Linked DNA regions of Drosophila melanogaster. The protein of the gene in region 2 interacts with the protein of the main gene of each other region in a pairwise test. Each region holds a gene or a part of one and is shown on either strand. Other genes may lie near its edges. The genes, in order: CkIIalpha-i3, Pbp95, E5 and otp.

Region 1 (4,287 bases), on a different chromosome or scaffold from region 2:
CGGAAAGCTTAGAGCATAAAGTACACTTTGTTGAAAATATACAGCAGTTTTTTAGGCACATTAAACAGAAAATATGTGCGGTCGCACGTGTTTAAAGTTGCCAGAGCGAGTGCAACTCAATGACTGAGCATGCGGTCCGAACATTGCAGAGATCTGGACTCTCCTCCGTTTGGCGGAGCGGCAAAAACCGTATCTTTGCGAGAGACATTCCGCTCTTTCTCTCGCGATCTAAACCGACTTCCCACGTTCCGATTCCGATCGTGGTGGTATTCGTTCGCGGTATGGGATTTATTTTCGGATCGAGAGTAAATATTCTCTCGCTAAAGCAGCTATAACTGGTTTAACATGCCGAAAAACACAAATCGCATTACCACCTAATCTGAGCTGAAACTGGTTTGATATGTACACATACATATATATAAAGCTATTTTTGCTCAAATTATATCTAGTGCTTAATTTAACGTTTACCACATTTAAGTGGGACCCTGTTGGTTATTCCACTCTATAAACTCTTTTCGCATATTACAATTATTTACACATTTTGGGTCTTGACTCTCAAAGGCAGGACACACGAACATTTTAATTGTAGATTACATATAAAAACTAAACTTTATTTTTGTGGCGTCAATAAGATCATAGATCGAAATCCTCGTTCTGAGGCGGATTTAAAACTGATTTTTCAACTTCAGTAAGTAGTCCAATGGCCCGATAGTTATCATTTAACATGGCGTACTCCTGTAAGACCTTCACGTAGGCCAAGGCCATATTTTTACAGTCGATGGATTTCAGTGAATTTTGTAAGGAAGCGACTACTTTGGGGTCCACATCGTCTTGACTGGTCTCATTTTCCTCCTGTCATTGAGTCATTTATCGTTACGTTAGTTCTATTACAGTCCAAGGACCTGTTTACTTACCTCAACTGCTGCCGTGTCGTGAGATTCAACAGTCTAAAAAAAAACATTCCAAAATTAAACACATTTTTCAGGTTGAAGAAACAACTAACCTCCTTGATCTCATCTTTTAAGGTCGTTTCCTTTTCCAATGACCCAATTTCCTCTTCATCGGTAAATTCACCATGCTAAGAAAATTAATAATAAGTGCTAATGTTACTGTTGATCTACTTGTACACACCCACCTCTATCTCTATTTTAATTATAGCTTCTTCAGAATCCGTACGCACGCGTACTTCTAATTTTTTCGACTTCGCCTGCAATAATAGTATTAATTTATGTTGCGACTTTTCAATAGTGTCATACCATTATTGGCGTTTTGTTGGCTTTCTTATTTCCTGCCGCTTTTGCTTTTTCATCATCAGACCATTTTTTACACACCTTACAAAGTTTGGATGGACGATTCTTAGTCAGCTTTCTTAGGTATTCACACCTCTTACAGCCACTTTTAATTAGACCGCTTTGTTGCTAGGATTAGTTTTATATTTACTAGCATTTAACTTATCCTTTATATGTTTGGCTATACTCACCAAGCTTACAGCTTCCTTCCACTTGTTGGTTTTTGCATTTAACATATTTCTAGGTTTCTAAAAAAGCATATCGAGTTCAGTCGAAATTCGATCAGAATTCGATGAGAGTTTTCATGAAAACATGGATGGATATTGGAAGCGCAATGAAAATATGTATAAGTTCTTTTGTAACGGTTCTTACATTGATCAGCTTTGGTTTCTCAGTAAGTTGCTCAGTTTTGTCCATCTTGGCCTCCGTCAGCTGGACCAGGCGATCCCGCCACCTGCGGCAGATTCTCTTGGTCTTGCGCTGTTCCTGCACCAGTGAGATTGAGCTGCCCACTTGGAACTCGCGCTGTGTGGGATCGGTCTTTGCCTGGATTTTGTTCCTCATCTCCACCATTTGCTCTATGTATTGTTTGACCTTGATGATTTCGGCATCCTGCAGGCCAATCAGAATGTCCCTGTACTTCCCAATAAGTCCTTTGAAACGTATCACTTGCATGGCAAGCATCATGGACTGCGCCTTGTAGGACGTACGCTTCGAGTTATTCTTCTCCTTCTGGATGACAGTGCGCAGCTGATCGAGCTCGCCATAGGTATCATTAAGGTAGCGGATGGCATTACGAAGATTTGACTCCGCTGTGGCAAAGGCGGTAGCATCCGGTGGACGAAATCCTGGCGGGGCAGGACCCAGTGCAAATAACCGGGACTGCAAGTTGTCCGATAAATTGGATTCCTTTTCCATAAATTTAACAAAACTTAGACTTCCACAATATGCTTTTTTGTAGACTTCAGATTGGTATTGCCCATCCGATGCATTTAGGGTTGCAATTTCGAAGTTATCGATAAAGTTTGCTTCATTTGATCAATATTGCATAATACTATAACTTTTTATTAACTGTATTACATGTTTTCACGATACTAGTTAATTCTTTTCAATTATGTTTGAATTTTCTATTTTGTGCAACCGAAGGTCTTTTCTTGAACCTTTAGTGTCATATTGGTGCTGCCAGATTTTTCGGTTTTTGTCAATTTCCAAGACGAACTTGCTTACAGATCGGCGTTGATCTCGGCAGGATTCACTTTGTTACTCTTCAAAATACTAATAAGATTTCAGAAATGTTGGTTTTTCTTGTGAAATTCCTTTAGATTGTTGTAACTATAGGTTTTAGAAAACGGTATTGCCACAGCGCAATATTTTAGCCAATACCCAAGCCAGATTTGTTTAGAACCAGATTCATTTTTCAGTGGTGTTAGCAAGTGCATGAACCATATTTAAATAAAGTAAATTAAAGTATATATATTATAAAATATTAAAATCTTAAATATAGAGGTATAAATTAGGTATGTGCCTTATCTTATCTTTGCTTTTCCAGTAGATTACGTGCTTGTTTATAAGGACACTACGTTTGATCCACCTCGAAGTCCTTGATCTGGGCTGGATATTGAATGGCGTGCTCCACCTGTATTAGCAGTCCTATGGCCCTGAAATTATCATGGATCATGGCGTACTCCTGGAGCGCTCTTAGGTGTCTCAATGCCTCTTCGTCGTTGCTGATGGAGATCTCGGCCGCAGACTCTGACAAATCATTAGTATTGGGTTCGGCGGCATTAAAGACTGTAAACTGTTCCCCATCCCGCTGCCGATCCGTTTGCACTTCGTAGTCCTTCTGGATCTTGATATCGACATCATCCAATGGCTGCTTTCGTTTGCGATACGTACGCATTTGGCGGGGAATAACTGTGCTGACAGTGGTGCCCATAGACAGCATCCTGCCTTTCTGGATACCGGTCTCCAAACTGACCACCGCTTCATCGAAATCATTGATGGAAAGTTCCTGCGGCGGTGGGACAGGGTCATCCTTTAGAATTTCGGACATCTCGTCGTAGAACTGCCAGTTTGGATGGAAATGCGGTACCTTCGCCAGGAGCTTGCTCCTTATGCTATAGTAGGTCTTCTTCAGGTTCCTAAATTTTCGATCCAGCTGAACTGCATCGATATCTGTCATTCCCTGGCTTTCAAGGGCAACGACCATTTCCCCCCAAATGTCCTTGATCTTTTTTTTCGGATCCCGAAAATCAGCTTGGCGTTCATTGTAAAGGGACAATAAAAGTCGGGTGTTGGATGTACACCACTTCCTTTCGTAAGCTGGCTTATTGTGAGTATATATATAGTTTTCTTCTTGAATTTATGTTTTTTACTCACACTTTGTATCCATTGTTTACAATAGCTATTCAGTTGATGACGAATAAGTTTTGTTTCCCAGGCTGCCAGTTCTTTCGGACGGCGTAAGAGAAAGGTATCATGATCCAAACATATGTGTTTCGATTTTTCTCTATCGATAACTATCGAAAAGGTTGCACGAAACAAAGATGGGAATAGGCTTTCGTTTTTTGAAAATGGATTTTTTGCCTAATCTATATCAATACTCGCTACCGAAGAGAACATTTATTTTATATAAATACTCATCTTAGCCTCATTTAATTGCCATTATGTAGTTTTTGAATTTAAAAATCTCGCAGTAAGGATTTAGTGAGTACTTGCCGCAGGTTGAGACCTCCCGCAACTTAATTATAGAAAGTTAATATTGAAATGGACCTACATACATTACAAATAAGCACATAACTATTACTGTGCTGCCATCTACCGGCAATGCGACTTTCATTTACAGACGCTAGATGTCGCCCAAACAGTTCGTCGATAGGGGCGCAGTAGTATAAATGTAAAATAACCGGGTACCGTATACTCGAGTATACACAGTAAAAAAAAGTTTAATAAACCAATATTGATTTTTGTAGTAATAAATTTGTTAAGCAAATTATAT
Region 2 (4,917 bases):
TAAAAGTACGGGATGAAGCGACTTGTCCATCTCTGTGAATTGATGTTCCGTTTAGCAAGCCCTTAAACTTAGGATTATAATATTAATTGTTCCTTGTCCACACTTCACAGATATTCAGATGCTGACTCTGTTGGTCCCTGTGCTCATTGGCTTCCTAGCGGAACCCAGTCGACTCCGGACGCTGCCAAAGTATCAACGGCAGCTGCACGACCAGGCGCTGCAGTGGCTACTGAAGATCGGTCCGAAATATCCGCAGGAGTTTAAGGCCCTGATGGGTCAAACACCGGAACTGCGACAAAAACTAGAAGCGGCCATTCGCAGCCAACAGCAGTCGATTAACATTGCCCAAAAAGCAAGCGAGGCGCAGAGGAACCTGCTGGCCAAGCCGCAGAAGCCTACGATCAAGCTGAAGACGGATTTCAGTAACTTCCAATGAGCGCCTCCCCCGGGAATCGAACAAAATAGTTCTCAAGCTGCTAGTGCTATCATAAAAATGCTTTGTAATACATTGTTACCGCATGAACAATAGGATGGATCGGTTCTTTTTATATTGAAAATAAGGTTTAGACAATTTTGCTCTAATAACTAAATATCCGGGATAAAAGTTTTGAAAGGATTGTAAAACGGCAACTAAAATATACATTAGTTTTTTTGACTGCTTGTGTATTAAATTGTTTCGTTTTGCAGGGCGTTTTGCTATAAATATACCTTTTTTCAAACCTAAGCAATATTTTTAAACTACAATCAGAAAAATGAGCCACCCTAATGCACATCGGTCCGGCATTTGATTTTGCTGTATGTGAAATACGTTAAAAGTACCTACAAGTTTATAAATTATTTGTTAGCCATTGTAATGAACTATTATATAACGCGATATGAAGTAAAAAATATAAACTTTTAAAGCTTAAATTAATCAATATTACATATTTACTTATTAGTTCCTATGGAACTGTATATTCCATTTCCAATTCCTGCTTGACTGTATTAATCACTTCATTCTCGCTAAGCGGCTCGGATTTTAGATCATTCTGTGGTGCCGGCTCTGGATCGATTAATTCAACATGTGTACCCATTTTTGCATAATCGTGTTTGGGGCGTGGTAAAGAAACTAATGCTGATGGTAAGTCCGTAAAGAGTTGTGATTCCAAGCGGCTGAGAAGAGTGGTACGATAGAAAAGAGCTTGCAACCGCTTGCGGAAAAGCTGGATGGGTGGTAAAGATTCATTGTATTCGAAGCTACGTGTTTCCGTATCCTTGCGACAATCTCCGGAAAGAATGCATAAGGCTCGAAACCCCATCATAGTTGACCAGTTGGGTGGCAAAAGTGGGCTCTTCATATCACCTTCCTCGTCCGGAAGGTTTCGGATCATGCTGTTGTAGCACTTAAGCACATCATTTGGCATAAATATGTTTTGTAAGAGCGAGGGTCGAATTGGTGGCTTATATGCAAGAGCTCTGATCACGTAGGCAAGGTTATAAACGTCTTTTGGAACTGGAAAAGTTTTTGGAGTGCTCAGCGTCAGATTATAACTAAACTTAAAGAAGTTGCAGAACTCTATATCAACTTTCGAAAGTCTTGAGAAACTCTCTGCCTGTCGCTCGATCCTAGCCTTTTTCGATTTGGGACCGCGCACCCGAGTTCCTTTCGGGGGGTTATCATTAACTAATGACTCTGGGTCCTCTTGCCACTCTTGCAAACGCTGCGCCCAGTTATCAGAGTTAACCAAGGACACCTTCTTCGATCGGCGGCGTGGCAGGTCTTCCACTTTTGCATTGGGATTTTGTTCAAGGAATTTCTTGATGACTAGGAAGCGGGTTCGACAGCTGGTCCGCGTGTGATTGCCCAAGAACGTGGCACAGTTAAGCCACTGGGAAGCCCCGTATTGCGTTACGAAGCTCATCAGCCGTGTGTCGTCCTGAACGGACCAGGAGTCGGTCTTGTTGCGTTGTGCCAGTACATTGTGGTAGCGAGTTCGGAGTTGGGTTAACGACCGGTTTGGGAAAAGAGAACGCGGAAAACAGTGAAACTTTCCATTGTACTCTTCAACGGCGGCGAACAGCATCATGTCCTCCTTGGTAGTGAAGGGTTCTGCAGTTTCAAAGGAGCGAAATAATAAATTAAAAATTATTCAATATATTGGGTACCTACCGTGACTGATGCTAGGATGCAACACGTAGTAGTAACGACCAATCAGCGTTGATTTGGACTTGTCCGGGAAGTATTCCACGACTTTTTTCCAGTTTATTACACTGTTTGCCGTATTCCTATCAACGATCGCCCTTAGTTTATCGTTGTCCTCTTCGCTCCAGCGGTGGCTGTTCTTTGGCTCCAGCAGAAAACGTAGGGCGGTATGAAAGCGTACGAAGCACTGATAGTCGGAACGTCGGTCTAGCGACGCGGCTATCAACTCCCAGTTCTGCATCCTGTTCGCAGTGGCCACCGCCAGTAAAGTTTCGTCCTCCTCGGGTGACCAATCGTCTCGCCTGAGATCTGGTGTTAAGTAGACCCTCCACATTGCCTCACAGCTATATGGTGAGTGCCGATATTCCAAGTCCAGGGTGCTGATCTGGTTCCAGTCGATGCTGAAGCTACTATCCGCAGTTGCCAGCAGACTTACCAGTGTACTTAAGTGTCGCTCGATTGGCTTGCGCTTCAGGCTTCCGCTGGGCAGCGCATTCGTACTGTGGGCCCTATGCTCCAGTAACTGAGAATTGAGTTTTTTATAAAACAGAATATTAGTATTGCTATTTAACTTTTCATTGCTATTAAATGGGTATTTGGCAATCAATCTGAACCACTCGAAGGGTCCACTCACCTGTTGTTTTATACCCATTATCACATTCTTTTTGTCTAGCAATGTCCATACATGTCTGGAGTGCATGTCAAAGTCGGTGGGAAACATCTCCGTGTGGCACCGCGCCTCGTAATCCTCGTTGTTAGGACAGCTTCGACCATCGATGTCTCGGAAAAACAGGTTGCCCTTGAAGCGAAACGTGCCCTTCCGCAGGATCGCCCCGCTAAGATTGAGGGAATTCGGGCCGAAATGGGAACGAGGTCGCAGCCGGCGCACCAGGATGTCCTCGTTCCGAGAGAAGCGGGCCCTTACTACTTGTAACATGGCCAGAATTTTGGTCCGGACTTGCATGAGCCGGCGCTGGAGCTCCTGATTCAGCTGCAGTGCGTTGGCGGCGCTCGGCTTCGCTGTGTTCTGCAAGAGGGCCGAAATCTCGTCCATAAGCTGCTGCTGGTTTATGCGCAGATCATCGGCATCGTCCATTGCTCAGGTTGTTTTGTTTACATTGCCTTTGACTTTAGCGATGAACTATTCCCGGCATCAACTATCGATAAAATGGTTGCAATGGTCGAACTGCATTAAGCAAATTAATACCCTGCAAATAAAGTAACATTGAACATTACATAGGAAATTGCTGTATTATTGGACTAAGACCTATTAAAGAATAGATAGAGATAAAATAGATATCATAACTGCCATTTTTCGTCCTTATTTATTCCCAGAAACTTTGGTTTTATCTAGTGGAAAGAACATGATTTCAATAAACTCAGTTGTAAAAGCGCGGGATTATTTTAAACAAAAGTTTGGTCAAAAATAGTTTTTTAGAATAAAGATCTTAAAACTATCCGCCATGCACTAAATAATGATACCCTTGGTAACAAAAAATATTTAGTATGTCAAAATGTTTTGTAATTTTAATTTTTTTATGTTGTATAACGTGATCTGTAGAAACTATTAATGTATTCCGATTTTTGTTAAGCCTTTCATACGCCCTCAAATTGGCGAAAATTTGGGTAGATTTAATATCAGCTGTTGTCAAACTCGCAACCAAGCCTGAGTACACCTAATTAGGTGAGCATCTCAAGGAAAAACGATATTCAACACTAGTCGAAATTGGCGAATCAGCAGTGACCGATGACAATACCAATCGCCTATCGCTGCTGCTCGAGAAACAACAAAAGAGAACAGAGAAAAAAAAACGCGTAGTAGCAACTTAATTAACAAAATTCGTGGTGAATGCGCTAGCATAACATGGAAGATGTCCCGGTCAAGATAGTCGAGCGCTACAAACCACCGCCTGCCGTGTACCACCTGCCGCAGGCGACCCTCAATCGCCTGTCGCAATTCCGAGAAGGTTTCTACACGGATCATCCGGATTACCAGTATGACTGTCAGCTGGAGAGGGCCGTGCTGAGTCAGGCGCAACGATGGCGCCACCTGCGTCGCCAGCAGCGCGAGGAGCGAGCCAGTCGCCAGGAGCGTCGCAAGGAGGAACGCCAACGGGCGCTGGAGGCGAGACAGAAGGAGATGCTTGGAGCAGTTGATTATCCTAGTGCGGACGACTTGTCATCGGATGAGGACGAGAAGGAGCGAAAGAAGAACGAGCCCGAGCAGAGGGACGAGGAACAGCAACAGCAGCCACCACCTCCAATCACCGCTGAGTCACGCGACTCTTCCCACGAACCAAAGTCAATAAGTGTGTGTAATTTTCACAATATCTTGCAGCCCACCATTCTGAGCACCACTCCAGTGGTCAGTCCGCAGACGCTGCACAAGCGTAACAGCTCCCTAAACTACGCAGACTTTGAGTACAATATGAACTCCACACCTTTCGACAATATCGAGCTGAAGACCATCAACGATCTAGACATACTAGCTCAGGTTCTGCACCAGACACAGCTGGAGAAGCGCATAGATCAACAGCAGCAGGATCAGCAGCAGCAGGAGCCGCCGCATGAGGATCATTCCAAGGAGGAGCAATCTGGCAATGAAGTGCCAGCTCCGGTGGAGCTAGCAATGACTACGCTGGCGGAGACCAAAGCGACGCTCGACAGCGTCAATTTCCATGTTCACTGTGATGATAATGCGGACAGGGGCGAGCCAAGCCACATTCCAACCACGG
Region 3 (4,794 bases), 5.9 Mb from region 2:
GACATTTCACGTTCATAAATCAAGCGAAAATTACAGGCGGCGCGGAGAAAAGTGAGAAAAAAGAGAAGGAGCGGCGGGAAATGGGAAAACAAGTAGAAAGGGAGAAAATAATGAAACGGAGTACAACATAATTAAGGCGTAACGGGGATACATGTACACTTAAGCAGGTGAAAGGCGTGTGAGTGTGCCGAAAATTATTATTATATTTAACCGGCCGAAAAAAAACATGGATACCAACATGGCCTGGAAATTCAAATGGTAATCATGAGAGCAGCGGAATGGTAGAAAAAAGTGGTTAAACCGTAATAAATGACAATGTTTTTGAGATGCGCTTTGCGGTGGCTCTTCGCTTCTATCTGCCAGTTTTTTTTTTTTACCATTCCTCTCGGTTCTTTGCTTGGTTGCCCCAAAACCTCAATTAAAAACGCATTAACATTTCAATGGTTGCACTTTTCGTACGTTACACATACGCCGCATGGGCCCGCCGCATGAGTAACTGGCGCCGTCTGTTGGCCATTAATGGTAATTTCGAGTGAAGAGAAAAAGTATAAATAGAGCAAATAAATGCTAAACACACACTCACACACTTGGCTGGCCATTTAGGTACGCTGCTTGACCTAACGATGTGTGTAATGTTGTTTAAACAATTTAATTAAAATGTAATTTGTTTGGAAATAGTTATCAAAATGGGTTCGGTTCCCTCCACATTCCCCCCTTCCTGTTCGCTCCCATTCTCCGTCCCGCTCCCTCTGATGATGATGAGCCCGATACACGTCTAATTAACTTGTAATAAATGTTTGCCATTTGCTTATTTAACTTTAATTATATGGAGCTGCGCGGCAACAACAGCGATAACTGAATAATTGCTTGATTGGGGTCCTCTCTACTATAATGGTGCTGGGCTTCGAATATGACTTAAGGTGTGGTTTCTTTTTCTCTGTCGCTCGCAACACTCAGCGGCCATTTGAAACGGCTATAATGAATGCGGAAAACTCGTTATAGCGAAAAATAACCAACAAAAGGGGTGGTTGCTATCTCCAGAAGAAGAAACCGACCGTAAACTATCATAATATTCTAATGTTCAAATATGAAAAATATATATGTAACAACTATCTTTCTAATAATCCGTAAAAGAGAGATGTACTCTTATTATCAGAATAGGGTAAATATTAAATTAAATGATATGTATTATTGTTATATAAACTGTTATTAATTTTGCAGTAAATTTATTACAAATAATTGTTAGCTTAGATGATTATGCATAAAAATTATATTTTTCAATTTATAGAAATAATTTTTAGCGGTTTTATATACATATGAAAGTACCGCTTGCTAAACCGGTTAGCTTCTCTGAACTCTGAACTTATTGAAAATATTGTAATAAACAATAGATATATTTAAAACAGTGTGATTACTTACTGCCTGGGAATCGTGGAAAAATGCGTCCGTGTCGGCTGAGCAACCATGGATACAACGGATAGCTATCCCGGATCAGATGCGGCGCACTCCCGAACGGATGGTGTCCGTGGGGCGGAGGATGCCCGGGATGCGGTCCGCCGGGAAAGATTCCAAGTGGAATTTGGCCGGGCGGCAGATGCGGATGTGGACCATGTGGCGGTCCAGTTGGCACGGGCGGAAGTTGCTGTTGTTGCTGCTGCTGTTGCTGCTGGTGATGATGAGCCAGTGCAGCAGCCATTTGGAACTGGGCGGCAAGGAACGGCGGTGGCTGCGACGGCGGGTGGGGCGGACCCGCCATGCGCACCGCCATGGCGTTCGGTGAGGTGCGGTTCCCAATTAAAGCTAGATTTGGCGCCGGCAGAGGCAACGGACGGATGAGGGTTGGAGGATTTCCCGTTCCCGACGATGGATCCCCGGACTTTGCAGTATTCCCGGCCGCTGCCGGATTGCCTCCTGCATTGGGGGGCGATGGCGACCGGCTAACCGGTGATCTCTGAGGACTGCGCGATCGATCCAGCGAATCCCTTCTGCGGCAGTAGATATAGCCCCTGGGCGTCCGGCGCCCACTGTTGTTCGTGTTCGTTGGCGAAGCGGGACTTTCGCTGCGCGGCGGCGGCGAAGATATCACACTGACCCTTAGTGGAGCCGATCTCGTCGAGGATTCGCCCACAATCGAGTCGATGCTGAAGGCCAGCTTGGGCTTGCTGCTCGCGGAGGCGGAAACGGTACTGCTGGCGGAAACGGAAGTCGAGGATGCGGCCACCGAGGAGCTGCTGCTCACAAAAGGACTCGTCGGCGCCATGGGCAGCATGTTGAACGTTTGCCGGCCGCAGGTGACCATTTGGTAGGGGTTTCGTTGATTGGAAAAACAAATGAATCACTTTCCCTCCTCTTAAACTTCCCGATTCGAAGTCTCTGCAAGTCGAAGTAGATTATAAGAACACTTGTAGGCCTTAAATTCCATTTTTTCCATTCCATATTTGACTTTTTTGAAAAAAAAAATTTTGTATTTTCGAACGGGATAAATCAGTAAATAAAAGAATAATGCTCAACTAAAAGTTTTAGGAATAAAATAAAACGGTAAAAATCCTACTAAAATCAAAGGGAATGGAAATTGAAATGGAATTGAACTGAATAGAAACGGAAACGGAAAAAGGGTTGTACTGATCGAAGCTCCCAATAAATGGGTTGGTGCTATGGAAACATGATCGCGTACATCGGTTAATGGTTACTAGATATCAGATAAGCACACACGCACTGTTTTTCCGATCAGATAGCTATAGCTATATAGCTACGTAGCGTTGTATCTGCGATGCTCCAGCGGTTGGCATCCGTCGGCGTGACATTGATAAACTGTAACTGTAACTGGAGCGGCGGCAACGCGGCGATTGGAGCGTGACCGTACCGCTTCGCTGGACGATTGACGGCGGCGATTGATGGTTGGCGATTGACTATTGGCGATTGACGGTGGCGGTGGCGGTATCAGTTAACGGTTAACGGTTATGCCGGCTACCCGGTAACGAAACGATTGCGGTGGCCGCGCTGCGATGATGATGAGCACTGTCAACGCCATTAGCATTATGGAGCGTCTAAAGGCGTCTAATTGTTGGCTCCACTTCGCCGCTCGCAACCTCTGTCTCTCTCTCGCTTTCTCTCTTTCTGTCCTGATTTTTGGCGGGGGCGTCGGCGAATCGCTGCGTGGCTCTCACGCTGAGCGTTTTAGCTCGAGTGTCGCGTTGGAAAAAGCCGCAAAAAGTTTGTGGGGCCAGTTCGAGTGTGCTTCTTCTTCCTTTGCTTGTACTTCCAGCGCAGCAATACTGCTGGCGTCTCGCTCGCACACGTGGCTCGGTGCGCGTGCGCCAAAGCAGCGCAACAATAGTTCAGTGGATATTCCGAAAACCTGCTTGGCTCCAAGTGGAGCCACCTCCTCTCTCGCTCGCTCTCCCGCTCTCTGGGCTTGTTGGTGTGTGGGTGTGTGAGGGGCCCCAATCTCTCTCTTTTTCTCTCTCTCTCTGTCGCTCTCTTGGCCATTTTTCGCACCAGTTTATGACAGCGAAACAAACAATTTGCGCTAAACAAAACAGCATCATTAAAGCGTTTGTGGTTTTAGTGCCAAGCGGGTTGGCCAGTTTGTTGGAGCGTAGGAGGGGGAACGGGGGTGGTGCACCCGAACAGTGGATAGGAAGTAGGTCTTCGATGATTAAAAATAAATATAATAAATATAACATTTAAAATTGAAAAGCGAACTGTGCCCTCTTTTAATTATGCAAATACTAACAATAAAAAAAAATTGAAACTTTATTTAATTGAATTGTATTTATTCATTGAAATATTTAAGGCTTAAACGTTTATCTTTCATCAGTAACCGTTTTTAAATTGTTTTCATGTATTAAATTATTTACTATCTACTGGAAAATCGATATTAAAAAGTGTTCAAATTTGTACATAACTCAAAAGTAGAAAATACGCATTTTTCAAAGGATATCGAGCCGATACCACTGTGCAGTGGAATCAACGTCATCGCTTATATAGCTTAGACGCCCCGTCGTCAGTGCTGGCTATAAACCACTTTCCCTCCCCCCGCCGCTTGGCCATTCTACCATTCTGAATTGGCATCTGCATCATGTTGGCCAAAAGCATTTGGACACGAAAATGGGCGGTAACTTGGTTTCTACACCTTCGGCGAGCTGCAACTGCGCGAATCTCACAGATACAGATACAGCGTGCTGGGAAGGGAACGTATCTGCATCTGTATCTGTGCGTGGTCATCCGAGTATCTGTATACCCATCCCCATCCCCATTCCCATCCCCATCCCTATCCGCATCCTCATCCGCTGGCTGTGAGTTGTGAAAATAAACACCTCGTTAAAGATGCAGGAGGAGGCATAAAACATGCAGCGCCAACTTCGCAGCCTTCTCATAGGTAAATACATGCGATTCTCCTCCTTTTGGCCATGAATGGATATGGATGTTGGCCAGAAAGGAGGCGAGAGTTGGCAAATAAATTGACGTGCGCTTGGCTGGATTTGTATGCATCTAGATAAGGCCGTTGCTTGTCGGTGGGGCAGCAGCTTTGCTGCCGCAGATGCACTCATGTATACACGTATACATATATCTATATCTGTGAGTGTGGCACCTCTGGGTGCGGTAATTGTAATTGGTTTTTACTCTTTCCCATCTCCTTTCCAGCTCCTCTGCCTCACGATTCGGGATAAATCATTTAATTAGTCAGACAATGAGCTGGGACGAGAACTTTATGGGATGCTCCATCACCGCAAAAGGTTATCGATCGGCAATCAATGATTTTGTGGGCGTATTTTTTGGCATTTACCGCAC
Region 4 (4,725 bases), on a different chromosome or scaffold from region 2:
TGGAATGGCATGGCATGGCATGGCATGGCATGGAATCTGGGCTGCTCCAACAACTAACCGCAACTGGGAACAGAATCCGCAGCAACCGCAAAACATTTCAATGCAAAGCGGATATGGCAGTGGGGGGTTAAGCGGTGTTCAGCGGGGTTAAGCACACATATTTCACTAGCCTAGGCCACCGCAAAAATGCCGAACGCACAAAGCGAAGCACGCGCAGATATTTCGTGGATGCAACGGACGGGTGGGGGTAAACCTGAAGGGGGTCTGTGCAAATTACAAATGCAATCATGAAATTAATTTAATTAATGCGAGGCTCACGAAAAAAGCGCCCAAACGAAACGCCATTCGAGCTCCTTTCGCTGCATGCAAATTAAGCATTAGTAGGGGAGAGACAATACGAATCCGGGGAAAGTTCTGCCATTTCTTTTGCATGCAAATTGCTCTTAATTGTAAAGGGGTGGTTAGGGGGGCATCCACTTTTGCCCCTCTCGGCCACGCACCCAGTATGCAAATGTTTTTTGGCCTCTCTGTTGTGCGAAACTCGGAAAAAGGCTCACGAAATTTATTATGGCAGACTCCAGCACTGCGGGCAGGATTTGTCCAAAGGATTCCGCACTGCGATTCATTGAAATTTATAGTTCTTCGTGGGCAAATGGAGCTGGCTAAAGTTGAAGCCGGCGAAAACTTTAAAAGCCAACTTTGGCAGTCGCAATCCATGGCAGATAGCAAACCGTCAGATCAGTTTCGCTTGCTAGCCCTTAATTAAACACCCATCTTCAATGGCAACTATGGACATTACGCATACGCCGCGTGCACCGAGCGGCGACAATTGGCGCGTGAAAAATGGCAATAAATTAATAAAAGTAATTAATGGCAACGCTTCGAAGGACGCAAGGATGCTGGCAATAAAAATTGAATATAAACGCGAGCCATAACTCATCCATGGCTGCTGCAGTTGCAGTTGCAAATGCACTTGCAAACTGTATTTTCTGGTAGTGTTGGACGGCTAACAACAAATTGATTGCCAAAATTGAAAGTGCTTGAATCGTTGATCAACAGTGTGGTAAAAATAATTTATTCACCTGCACACACGCACATACATATGTACATATGTGTATTCGGAATTATTAATATATTAATATGAGGACACAAGTACAGTTTGATAATTATGTGCGTGCGCCGGGTGAATGTGTGAATGTAATTCACAATTTGCGGCATATTTAAAAGAGCAATTATATCAATTAACACAAACACACCCACCCACACTCGATTCGGAATGGGCATAGGCATATGGGAATGGGAATCGGAGAAGGTTTGCCGAGTTAGTTAAATACACAACTTAATTATTGCTAAATGCACGCGACACCTGGCGCCATCTGGTTAGACGTCTCAATTATAGGCCATTTAGCAGACATGGGAGATGCGATGGCAATCGCCAGATCGGAAGTACGACTAACTACCCCTCCGATCTTTTGTGGGTGTGCTCAAGAAATTAGTTTAATTATGGCCAGGCGGATCGTATGCCATGGATTAATACACACATTATTATACATTAGCGCAATTCACTTGGCGATCTTAATTGCAACATTATACGCAGCTCCCGCCCGCAGCCCGCACTTAAAACGCTATCGAGGATTGGGGGCGTAACTTACCCAGCACATTGGCCCCAAGATTGTTCAGCATGTTTGCCGAGAAATTGCGGATCGACAGAGTCGACAGTTTGTCGCTGTTTCTGATTGCTGCTCCGAAAGTTAGGATTCGGGATCCAATTTGATTGAATCGGGAATCGATATCGACTGGTGGTGGCGGAATCCCAATGGGAGTTCCTGCTCGTATACTCGTCTATCACAGAACGTTGGAGTTGAAGTTCACCTGCGGTGCAAATTACATCTCAATTGTTCGGTGGAAATGGGTGTGGCTGCAAGTAAACAGATTTGTTATTTTTGGATGGGTGGCTTCTGCTCAACGCAAATATAAACATACATAGGTGACTTTGTGCTTTTTTGGAAGTACTTGTTAATTTTCAATACTAAAAGTTTTTAAATTGACAAGAGAAAATGGTCATTAACTTGTTTAGCAAAGTTTTTGTTTATGTTTATAGTATACAATCATATGCAATAAAACTGCTTACAATGTATCAAGATTTCTGGAATCATAAATGAATGTTTGATTTTTGTCTTGGCAAAACATTTAAGTATACTAATTGCTCGTGTGTTGTGAATATTTGGCCCAGCCCTCTCTTGAACTTTGACCCCTGTCAAATGTCCAGCTATTTGGGTAATTTAACTATTGTGCGACTAACCAGAAAACTAAATCCGTTTCACTTTCCTTAACCGCAGAAACTTCTGCCGAAGTTCGATTGTGTGGGCATTTGCATTGAGTTTTATTGCTCATTTGGCCAAGGACTCACCTGGCTCCTCCTATCGCTCGTCCTTTTTCCGCCTCCTTGCTTTTTGTGTATGCCACAGGGTTATGGGCTGGGGTCAGAGTTCAGGCCAGCAGACGATCAAATTGCCATAGTAAAATTAATTAAATGCCTTGACCATAAAAAAGCCAAAGAAATTAAATCCAAGTCACTTGGCCGGAAGTTGAAAAGTTTCCTTAGCTCCCACACACACACACACACACGCGCACAGCTGGCACACACACACAATCGCACTCACAGACACGCAGACATGCACAGCTTAGGGACACGCAATGAAACGGAAGTCGAATCGTTTATTGATGAACTGTTTGACCAACTGACAGCCGGACACTGTCCGGCGGAGGACACGGCTTGCTTCCACCTTCGGGTGTGGTCACTCGTCCTTGTTTTCTACTGTTTAATTGATAGCATTTTTACACTTCGGGCACATTTTCACTTAGTTATTCCTTGGCACTTCCCAGTTAGATCAATTCGGTTAATGGTCTCTGCCAGTGCGACGGCTTTCTAGGCACTAGCAAACGGAAACGGATCGAATTGTTTCGGATCGCACTATTGTATCGTATGGGAGCTGTACGCCGTATACGTAGCGCTGCTCGCTTGCATTTGAGGGCAGTGCGAAAAAATCAAAGCGAATTGACTACGAAACCTGATAACTTCGACAACAACGACTGCGCACTGGCGCCGCATTCAATCGCCACCCCCTCGCACAATTGACGGTTAAGTCAAGCGTTATCTCTGCCAGCGGGCTTATCTCTCGCATTGATTTGCAAAAATCGCAAAGAGCACACACCGTGCCAGTGCCCCGGGCGGGCGAGGAAAGGAGACAGCTAGCTGAGCCCACAGCCATCTTGCCGTCGAGCCAAGCATGCTGACTCGTTCGCGCTTGCCCTGCCAAGTGGTTGCTAGAGCGGGTCGGCTATACTCGCTGTGCGTAGGCCAGACCACGCCCTCAATGCAGACCAACGAATGAGGGAACTCGGGAGCTTGTGGCCCCGAACGATAGCACTTTTTGGCGCCCTCGGCGATAACAGGTCCTGCCGCCTATCGATAGGCGGGCTATCATCGATGCCGAAACAGACCTCGATTCCCCTCGAAAAACTTCAACTATACTCCACAGCTGGTCGCGTTGGCAACCGGCGCTTGGGCCACAGTTATTGCTGAAAGTCCACTCCTCCCAAAAATGCGCCTTGAATTCTTACTCAGCGTTGTTGATGCCACGTGTCAGCTTTCAGCCTCACCTGTTGTCGTTTATTAGTTTTTGTTTCCGTTTTTTTTTTTTGCCCGTCTTTTTGCTGGAGGGGAAGTACCTCCGACATTTGGCGGAATTTTATAATATTTTGCATGCTGCACAAACGTTGAATTAGCCAGACAACGGAATGCCGGGCGAAATAAGAGTTTGTCATGGCAACCGCAATTCAAAGGATTTCCACCCCACTTCCTGCGCCCAGTTCAAAGTCCTCCCACCGCCCCTCAAAAGTCTGCAAATTATGTTGGCCTTCTCCCTCCGACAAATACATACAGCTAAATCGGGGGCGTTAATTAAAAACTCTAGGTAGCAATTAAAACCACAAGAAGAATGCAAAAAATCGCAGCAGTTGTAGTTTGTTTTGCAATGAGCATAATTCAAGGTTCACACTTGTGCGGGGTGACAAACGTTCTAAAATAATTTAAAAAATTTAATAAGTGGCGTAATAAATTTAGATTGATAATTGTACACAACCTATTAAGTCTTGTATTTCACAAACTTGCATACTAACGTGTGAAATACTTATAACAATCCCACACAAATGTCGAAAACATCGAACAGAAATTTTTCTGTTAGTGTATTATAAAGTAAACAAGCCGAATAAATCGTGATAACATCTCAATTCGTTGTTGGGCTCACTTATTAGAGCATATGCATCACTTTTCATTTTTTTTCCTTTTCTCACATGAGGTACATAAAAAAACTTCGAGTGTGTTAATTAATCAAAGGCGTTATCGGCAGCAAAAAGAAAAATAAATTTATGGGAAATGTGCGGCGTAGACTTGTTGAATTTCGCCATATTAGCCAAGGATTAATCATCTAAGGAGTCTCAATTAGACCGCATTTTGAATGCCTGGCATGAGCATGTCGTAAATCACTTTGGCCAAATCCGGGCAGCAGATAGTGACTGTGACCAGGACAGCTGCGAAATCCTTGAGTTGCCGGGACCGGCATACCAAGAAGCATGGCGGAAAAAAAAAGCGCAGCTCAAATGCAAAGGATTCCGAATCCTTCGGCATGCACGACGTTCTCTTTTGACTTTGTTTGGCAATCG

What was found.
Region 1: the proteins of Pbp95 (region 2) and CkIIalpha-i3 interact in a two-hybrid assay, tested with the Drosophila melanogaster proteins (one large-scale study listed by BioGRID).
Region 3: the proteins of Pbp95 (region 2) and E5 interact in a two-hybrid assay, tested with the Drosophila melanogaster proteins (one large-scale study listed by BioGRID).
Region 4: the proteins of Pbp95 (region 2) and otp interact in a two-hybrid assay, tested with the Drosophila melanogaster proteins (one large-scale study listed by BioGRID).

What each region holds. Positions count from the first base shown.
Region 1 is NT_037436.4:708,077-712,363, forward strand, and holds CkIIalpha-i3 (CKII-alpha subunit interactor-3), read right to left. Parts: upstream 2,286-4,287; 5' UTR 2,282-2,285; coding exon 2,234-2,281; exon of another isoform or gene 2,208-2,233; coding exon of another isoform or gene 2,172-2,207; coding exon 1,662-2,171; intron 1,538-1,661; coding exon 1,481-1,537; intron 1,419-1,480; coding exon 1,257-1,418; intron 1,208-1,256; coding exon 1,136-1,207; intron 1,079-1,135; coding exon 1,004-1,078; intron 948-1,003; coding exon 915-947; intron 853-914; coding exon 634-852; 3' UTR 525-633; downstream 1-524. Other genes in the region: CG13896 (uncharacterized protein), read right to left, coding at 2,866-3,611, 3,669-3,681.
Region 2 is NT_033777.3:8,012,199-8,017,115, reverse strand, and holds Pbp95 (PSEA-binding protein 95kD), read right to left. Parts: upstream 3,326-4,917; 5' UTR 3,279-3,325; coding exon 2,817-3,278; intron 2,706-2,816; coding exon 2,150-2,705; intron 2,090-2,149; coding exon 942-2,089; 3' UTR 506-941; downstream 1-505. Other genes in the region: CG2747 (uncharacterized protein), read left to right, coding at 111-436; CG10435 (uncharacterized protein), read left to right, coding at 4,047-4,917.
Region 3 is NT_033777.3:13,871,881-13,876,674, forward strand, and holds the start of E5 (E5), read right to left. Parts: upstream 3,037-4,794; 5' UTR 2,717-3,036; intron 2,374-2,716; 5' UTR 2,300-2,373; coding exon 1,420-2,299; intron 1-1,419.
Region 4 is NT_033778.4:20,900,376-20,905,100, forward strand, and holds the start of otp (orthopedia), read right to left. Parts: upstream 3,040-4,725; 5' UTR 2,411-3,039; intron 1,919-2,410; 5' UTR 1,684-1,918; coding exon 1,653-1,683; intron 1-1,652. UniProt on the Drosophila melanogaster protein: May be involved in the development of the central nervous system.